Arabidopsis thaliana: one gene and its partner. The protein of the gene in region 1 interacts with the protein of each later gene in a pairwise test. Each region holds a gene or a part of one and is shown in the gene's direction. Other genes may lie near its edges. The genes, in order: PUCHI and AT1G72570.

Region 1 (4,192 bases):
ATAGTTTGACTCATTTATACTATGAAAAAAGAATTATAATTTTCATTCCCAATGCCATTAAGCAATGTGCAAAAAGCTTTACCAAGAATCGTCACATTTCCAACCCTTAATACAAGGAGTCCATCACACTTTTGTACCGTAGCCCATTCGGTTAAAAAGGCAAGGTATTCATTCAAATCTAATTAATTTGATTGTTGGTTTACGTGGCTTATATGACGTAGTATTTGTTTTTGCTACAAAAACTTGTGTAGTCATTTGCAGGATTTCTATTAATGCTCGTATATATTTACGTAAGTTTTTGCTAAAAAGGCTAATATATACTTGCATATTACGTACTTCACACCAAAAGTACTAACTTATCCATATATATGAGCATTAGCCTTTTATAACATCATCAAATTAGATATACTAAAGATTATCTAACAGACTAACACTTAACCAAAAAGATTTCAATACAGATCAAAGCTTATCACACCAAATCTATATGTTTGCCTTTATTGAGTTCTACTATAAGAATTTTTGTATATGTATTCTTCCCAAGACTAATTAGTTAATGAAAATATGTACTCTCTTATTAACTAGAACGTTCTATTAATTATACATTTTTTCGAACATGGAATACATAAAAATATCAATCTAAATTCCACAATGACTGAAACGTAAGTGTTCTTACTCTTTTGAAAAGTTTGATTAAAGTCTCTAAACTAAATAATCCAGAGTTTGATTAGAGCTCATAGTCATCTTCTAATTGTTCTGTTTTTCTTTGAACTCTTACTTAACAGTCGTGTTATCGTTGACTATGAGCAATTTTCTTGATTCATCAATAGAACTGTTGTCGGGTAAGGCATTAACTTCCTAATGCAATCATATATGAAAATAGACGAAGCTCCTATGTATATATATATAATCCTACAAAACTACAAACACAAAGAGACTAAGATTGTTGTTGACTTGTGCTTGTTTGCAACTTTGCATACAAGGACATCAATACAAAATTGTCCACTGAGCTATTTAATTAAAACCAAATTTATACGTACTTCCTAAGCATTTTAATTTTTGTTTAGTTCATCGTGTCTTTCTCTAAACCACTCCCATTGAAAAATCAGAACAAGGTGACAAAATTGTTCTCATTTCTATTTCCGCTTAAAATGCGGGTAACCATGTGATTTGATCAGGGGTTGTAGAAACTAACACTGATTTTGAAATATATTTATTTTTGAATTGTTGATATATTGTGTTAGAAAATAACATTATCGAACCTACCTCAGTGCACTCAAATTAATTGGACATCCTTATCGTAATTAGCAATGCATGCATATCATCTCAAGGATATATCAATTAAGTAGGGGATTTAACCTAAAGAAATATATCGATTATTTTTACGTAGACCCTTGACCTTTAGGCTAAGGTATGTAGGGTTATTATGCATGTTGCACGTGACCACTAAGTAGATTATTTGAGTTAATCAATTAGCTTGATCCCATTGAAATAGAAGATTCAAATAGGATGATGCAATATATACATCACAATTACTTTTCTTAAGTTACTCGGTACTTAGTATGTATTTATTACTTGTTCTTTCTTCTAACTCGAGATTGGTTACTGTGACATTCCAGATTTTGCTGTAGTTCCAATGATTCTTGGCCTCTGTTTTAGGCTTTCATAAGTAGCCATCCGTGTATATACATACATATATATACTGTACACACAGTTAAAATTAAGACTGTTTTAAAAAAAGAAACCCTTAATAATAATCAGTCAATTAAGCTGTTTAAAATTTGTATGAATTTATTTCAGCTGGTTAAGCCATATAAAAATCCAACTAATGTGTCAGCGTTTTTTTTTTTGTTTTTTTTGTCGTTGATGCAAAATATAATATCTTTGGAAATATAATAAAAGAAACAAAACAAAAGATGGTCTACTAAAAGCAGTTGAATCAAAAGTGAAGTCTCTCTATCTTCTCTCTCTATCAAGCTCATTGTCTCTCTATTTATAACAACACTTCACTTCCATTCTCAAACAGCACCATCATCTTTAGACAGAAGCAAAGCCAAAAAAAAACTTACTCATCATAAGATATCTTTAACCAAAACCCTAAAAGAAACCTCCTTTCAAAAAAACCATTTCTTCATCATCATGTCAACCTCCAAAACCCTAGACCATAATAAACCATTTGAAACATCCCAAACGCAAATGGGTTTTGCTCTGATCCACCAAAACACATCCGCCAACACAACCACCACCACCACAACCGGCGAGAGACGAGGCCGGAGATCAAAGCAAGCGGAGCCAGGGAGGTTCCTAGGAGTCCGGAGACGTCCATGGGGTCGTTACGCAGCCGAGATAAGAGATCCAACCACCAAAGAACGTCACTGGCTAGGCACTTTCGACACAGCTCACGAAGCTGCTCTTGCCTACGATAGAGCTGCTCTTTCAATGAGAGGTACTCAAGCTCGAACCAACTTCGTCTACACTCCAACTGATGTCCACACCATCCTCACAAACCCTAATCTCCACTCTCTCATTGTCTCTCCTTACAATAACAACCAATCTTTCTTACCAAACTCTTCTCCACAGTTTGTCATCGATCATCATCCTCATTATCAAAACTATCATCAACCACAACAACCTAAACACACTCTCCCCCAAACTGTCTTACCCGCGGCTTCTTTCAAAACGCCAGTTCGTCATCAAAGCGTGGATATTCAAGCGTTTGGTAATAGTCCTCAAAACTCATCTTCTAACGGCTCGTTATCTTCTTCACTAGACGAAGAAAACAACTTCTTCTTCTCTTTAACAAGCGAAGAACATAATAAGTCCAATAACAACTCGGGTTACTTGGATTGCATTGTCCCAAACCACTGCCTTAAACCACCTCCGGAGGCCACCACCACCCAAAATCAAGCCGGAGCTAGTTTCACAACTCCGGTAGCAAGCAAAGCCTCTGAACCATATGGAGGGTTTAGTAATAGCTACTTCGAAGATGGTGAGATGATGATGATGAATCATCATGAGTTTGGTTCGTGTGATCTCTCTGCCATGATCACGAACTATGGTGCTGCTGCCGCTTCAATGTCAATGGAAGATTACGGGATGATGGAGCCGCAAGATTTATCTTCTTCTTCTATCGCTGCTTTTGGAGATGTCGTTGCAGACACTACAGGCTTCTACTCAGTCTTTTAGAACATTCTATATTATATATGTTTTTTATATATGCAATAATATTATTAGTATTTACGTTATTCGATGGTCGTTTGATTGTTGTTGTTAACTATATGTTATCGACTTTATTATATAAATCCTGCTTATTGTTTCATGCATCATAAGGTTACCTTACCTTGAAGTTTTGATTTGTTTTTTCTTTAATTTGTATTATGGTTTTGATTAGCAAAAAGGGATAATCCGAGTTGTATTAAAGACCACTTTTTGTCCATGCTACTTCGACACACTCATTATGTATATTTTATAAGTGTGCTATATTATAATAATAATGAAATCAAATGACTTGCTCCAAACGGATAAATGACTAGGATCGGAGTGAACAACTAATATATCACATGTAATATTAGGATTATAAGATCAGATGCAAATACCCCATTTTTCTATTTTTGATCAGTATGTGCTCAGATATTATGATTATTTTATGACAGTTATAAATTTTGACGTTAGTTTGAATTATAACATAATTGAGAGTCTAAGTTATAAAATTTAAAATTTAAAATTAGTGAATGTGAGATGGACTTTTAGTGAAGTAGCATGATGGTGTTTTTGGTCGTTAAACATGTGTTTTGGTCATGACTTGTTTGGTATTTCATTGCACAATCACTGTTTCATGTCTCCCTCCTTTTGCCTATATTTTGCCTTAACTTTTGTCTACAACAACTCAACATCACAACTCTTTATTTCATTTTTAAATCTGTTTAAGGTTTTTGACTTTCTTTCATAGAACTCAATTAGTGCCTTCTCCAATGTTGATCAACTATACACTTTTTTTGTTAACTCAACAAAGATCCAATCCTGTTATACTAGTCAAACATATATACGTTGGGAATTCATCATATATATATATGCTTCACAATTTGTCTAGCTTCAAATTAAATAACTTCCAAATAGTTACTGAAATTTGTATTGTTAATTATCTGTTTTGCATGCGTCAATATATATAACGATTTAGGCAAAATGTTCATTTTAC
Region 2 (4,967 bases), on another chromosome or scaffold:
TCATCCATTGTGTTAACTTAACCCCACTACAAAAACCCTAAAAACCGAGATTTCAAAATCCAGTCCTGGTTTGTTGCATACAAGTCAAACAATGCCTTGAATTAGTATCGTCAGCTAGCTTCTCTCCTTCACTGTTCTCTTCCCTTATCAGATTTTGATGCGAAGAAGAAAAAGACGAAACTTTTAGTGGGTTTCGCTTGAGAGCTTACCAGAAAGTAAGGATCGTGGCGATTTTAGCGATCGGATTTATGAGAGTGGGAGATATAGTAGAAAAGGGATTATGGAAACCCTAGTTTGGGTTTCTCTTTGAATTCAAAGAATACTTTTTTTTGGTGAGTTTCTAGAAAATTTCCCTTACGGATTTATAAATATGAGGAAAATTGTGAGACTGGAGAGAAGACGGAGCTGTAGGGTTTTTTTTTTTTTATACACAGATTTTTATTAGCTTGCAGAATATTTTCCCAGAGAACTATAAATATTATTGCCAGCGAATTGAAAATTAACCGTCATCTGAATTCAGTAAATCAGCCCATGGGCTTGAATCTCTCTCACCTTAGGCCTTAGGTGTTGCATACTGATAGATTAAGATAGACATGTATAAATGTTTTGTGAGTTAGCAAATATAATGGTGTTTTTTCACTTTCTTAATCTAATGTTTTATAAAACAAATTGTCACATTAATACATATAACTAAACTACTTACTGTGAAATTATTCATGGAGACAACTTCTGTAGCTAAGACCTCTCGATTTTTATTTTGTATACTACAAACTAGGTAATTGTAAGAAAAGGTTTGTTCTGTAATGGCATTGTCGATTACCTCGTAGAAGAGGTTGGAATATTTCCGATGCCCGTAGCAAGATATAAAATCACAAATTCATTTTTCAGTTGTTAAAGAAAACAATTGTGGCTTTTTGTGTAGAACGACATTTCGTTATGTGGGTGGCGAGTATGGACAAACTACCCACTAAGTCTTGGTTAACAGCTTGGAACACAATTTCATTTTCTATCTATAAGCAACATATGCAATATAATCAACCAAATAAGAGAGATCACTTATTCTTTTGTTCTATCATATTTTGTGTGTCTGTTTTCAAAGGTTATACCGTCACATTATCCGCTTCTCACACTTGAGGCAAATTTTATGAGTTAGATAGCATATTGCCAAACACTCCAGCTATATATATCTTTTATCTTTTAGATTGATCTTTGTCTAATCTGCGAAAACAGCAAGATCATTTCAGGCTTCTCCATCACAGTTAGAATCATTTTCAAACGGATCGATTGAATGAGCAATCAAAAACACATTTTTATCGTCTAAGGAGAAATTTCCTTGCAATACTACTAATTTTAGTACAAATTTTGTTTACTTTTAAATTATGTAATGTTCTTTAAGTTTATTAAAAAATATCCCAAATTATATCGAAAGAAAGACATTAATAAAAGAAATGTATTATTGTCTAATTAACATATTTCGAAAGAAACAAAATACTGACTTTTTTAAGCGCTACTGTGTGCTTTTTTTACGGAAAAGTTAATCAAATACCAAAGAACGAAAATTTTCATTGTAGTGTGTCATGTGTATCTCCCATATATATATACGTATACATCGAAAAGATCCGAGGGAGAGTGGGCACAAAACTCTAGAAGTCAGATGCAAGTGTGTGTGAAAGAGAATGTGAAAGAGTGAGGGAGAGAGAAACTTCCTCTTCCTTTCTTTCATGCTTACGACAAAACTTCACCGCCACCTGTTTTGTCTCAAATCTTTTTTCCACCTTTTTAATTATATAATTTATTAAATGTTTTAGACTTATGAAAAATATTAATGTATATTCGCACGTATGAGACTACAAATCATATAAAACGAAACCCTATACATATAAACTAAGAGCGAGAAAGACAGCTAGAGAGAGAGAGAGAGATGAAGAAATGGTTGGGATTTTCATTGACACCTCCTTTGAGAATCTGCAATAGTGAAGAAGAAGAACTTAGGCATGACGGTTCCGATGGTACTCTCTTCTTCACACATCATCCCCCTGGTATATATATGTTGTTGGTGTGGCCACTATTAATATTCTTAATTTGATTTCTATTTTATGTGTAGTTTGGAGATATGATATTAACTTTGATCATCATCATCATGATGAAGACGTTCCAAAGGTGGAAGATCTCCTCTCAAACTCTCATCAAACCGAGTATCCTATAAACCATAACCAAACCAATGTCAACTGCACCACTGTGGTTAACAGGTTAAACCCACCCGGTTACCTTCTCCACGACCAAACCGTAGTTACACCACATTACCCGAACCTAGATCCGAACCTTAGCAATGATTATGGAGGTTTTGAGAGGGTCGGTTCGGTCTCGGTTTTCAAATCTTGGTTAGAGCAAGGCACTCCAGCATTCCCACTCTCGAGTCATTACGTTACTGAAGAGGCTGGTACGAGCAATAATATTAGTCATTTTAGTAACGAAGAGACTGGTTATAACACCAATGGCTCAATGCTATCATTGGCTTTGAGCCATGGGGCTTGTTCTGATTTGATCAACGAATCGAATGTATCCGCACGGGTCGAAGAACCGGTTAAGGTAGATGAGAAGCGGAAGAGATTGGTTGTTAAACCTCAGGTAAAGGAATCCGTTCCTCGGAAGTCGGTTGATAGTTATGGACAAAGAACTTCTCAGTATCGTGGAGTTACAAGGTACGTACGTTATTAAATAATGACGTCTCAAACATTTGTTTTGGTTTAAATGATGTCTCAAACTTACACGTAAGAAAAATGTGAATGCCACAATTATGTTACTTATGTATATTTGTCATTTTATTTTGTAGATTATGTATAATTGTGTCGACACATATTTATGTTGTGCGTGTATACAGGCATAGATGGACAGGGAGATATGAAGCTCACTTATGGGATAATAGCTGTAAGAAGGAGGGACAGACAAGGAGAGGAAGACAAGGTCAGAAAAAACAAATACAAAATAATTTTCCGATTCAATATGCTATCATGCATCAATAATCTTACTAACAATTATTTAATTTTGGCTTCGTATGTACTTTCGAATTCGCTTCTTGATCAATCACAGTGTATCTTGGTAAGCCAGAACTTTATTTTACAACCTATTATGCATGAGATCCCTCGTTCATTTCTTGTTGCCCTATTTTTGGCCTTCGAAGTAAAAATTAACCTTGTTACCTTCTGATAATTATAGAAAAACATTTAATAGTAGAATTAATACTTACTAAAATAGGAGGGTATGATGAGGAGGAGAAAGCAGCGAGGGCATATGATTTAGCGGCTCTGAAGTATTGGGGTCCTACCACTCACTTAAATTTCCCTGTGAGTTTGATCTTTCTGGTCCCGTACCTAGCTCCACTTCTAACTCCTTTATTACATGCAAGTGTGTTTTATATATGTACACTTATATACATGCAACATAACAGTTTCCATACTTATTTCGATATTTTGGATCTTGAATGTAATCATTTTCCGATTTTATTGACTTGATTTTGATGGAACTACATAGATTTGGCTTGTGATATCAGTTCCTTTGACGCTCTTTTATTCAGTTGAGTAATTACGAAAAGGAGATCGAGGAACTCAATAACATGAATCGGCAAGAATTTGTTGCCATGTTGAGGAGGTAATTACTCAACAGTGGGTTTGTAATGATATTTATGGACCTTATATAGTCATATGCATTTAACCATTAACAAACGCTTTGTAATTACATATCATAATCATAGGAATAGCAGCGGGTTTTCGAGGGGAGCTTCCGTGTATAGAGGAGTTACAAGGTTTGATTTGGACATATATGTGAAACTTGTATATATTTATATATGTACATGTACATGCATGGAATTAGATCATGATGATCATGCATGTATAACTCATGTAGGCATCATCAACATGGAAGGTGGCAAGCCAGAATTGGAAGAGTTGCTGGAAACAAGGACTTGTACCTTGGAACATTTAGTATGAACCACTTCTATACATATGGAATTATATCATAGCCTTTGAATTATTAAATATCACATTTTGTAACTATGATGAAGGCACGCAAGAAGAAGCAGCGGAGGCGTACGATATCGCGGCAATTAAATTCAGAGGCCTAAACGCTGTAACCAATTTCGATATAAATAGATATGACGTGAAGAGGATATGTTCAAGCTCAACGATTGTTGATAGCGACCAGGCCAAACATTCTCCCACCAGCTCTGGCGCCGGCCACTAACCGACACCGTAAACTCCTCGCCGGAGAGACTATTCCCACGTACGGTTGGTTTGAGGAAATAAGTTCGTCCAGTCTGTTTAATCATTTATGGTTTAATAAACATATATTCCTAAGTAATTGAGGCCGGTCTACATATATACAACTTTTTTAGCAAATTAAGTTATCAGAATCCACTATATATTATTCTCTATGATATACTTTGATTAAATTTCGTTTTTATTTTTAATTGAAAAAAGTTAATGCATTCATTATTTACAGGATCCATAACATAAGTGTTAATTAATTAGTATATATTAACTGCACCAAGTTGAGGAGAGGCGATTCCTCAATTTGTGTGCCTTCTTCTGTCGTGGTCGTACTTTAAGGAAAAGCGTTACAAATTTAAGTGAAACTTATTTAACTCATAATCAAATCCATCCAAGCCTTTGATAGTTTGATTAATTTTGAACCCGTATCGAGCTAATTCCCTCATGCCATGGTGAAAATAATTGGTGTCAATGGAAATTTGAAGGTTTCTATGGACTTCTTGAGATAAACTAAAGTAATATCAGATGTTAAAAAAAAAAAAAAAACTTTTTATATAATTTTTATTTTATTTATATGCTCGGTTACAAAGCCGGACAAATATCTAGCCGTCAAGAAACAAAAAAAGAACCAACATATGACATATATCACCATCATCGTTATTGTTATGATTCAACATTTAATTAGGGTATATTCTTGAAATC

Evidence for each region.
Region 2: the proteins of PUCHI (region 1) and AT1G72570 interact in a two-hybrid assay, tested with the Arabidopsis thaliana proteins (one large-scale study listed by BioGRID).

What each region holds. Positions count from the first base shown.
Region 1 is NC_003076.8:6,163,850-6,168,041, reverse strand, and holds PUCHI (Integrase-type DNA-binding superfamily protein), read left to right. Parts: upstream 1-2,001; 5' UTR 2,002-2,136; coding exon 2,137-3,183; 3' UTR 3,184-3,516; downstream 3,517-4,192. UniProt on the Arabidopsis thaliana protein: Probably acts as a transcriptional activator. May be involved in the regulation of gene expression by stress factors and by components of stress signal transduction pathways.
Region 2 is NC_003070.9:27,329,460-27,334,426, forward strand, and holds AT1G72570 (Integrase-type DNA-binding superfamily protein), read left to right. Parts: upstream 1-1,921; coding exon 1,922-2,009; intron 2,010-2,104; coding exon 2,105-2,702; intron 2,703-2,881; coding exon 2,882-2,964; intron 2,965-3,090; coding exon 3,091-3,099; intron 3,100-3,255; coding exon 3,256-3,344; intron 3,345-3,574; coding exon 3,575-3,648; intron 3,649-3,751; coding exon 3,752-3,802; intron 3,803-3,903; coding exon 3,904-3,980; intron 3,981-4,060; coding exon 4,061-4,239; downstream 4,240-4,967. Other genes in the region: PSD (ARM repeat superfamily protein), read right to left, coding at 1-8; AT1G72580 (uncharacterized protein), read right to left, coding at 4,947-4,967.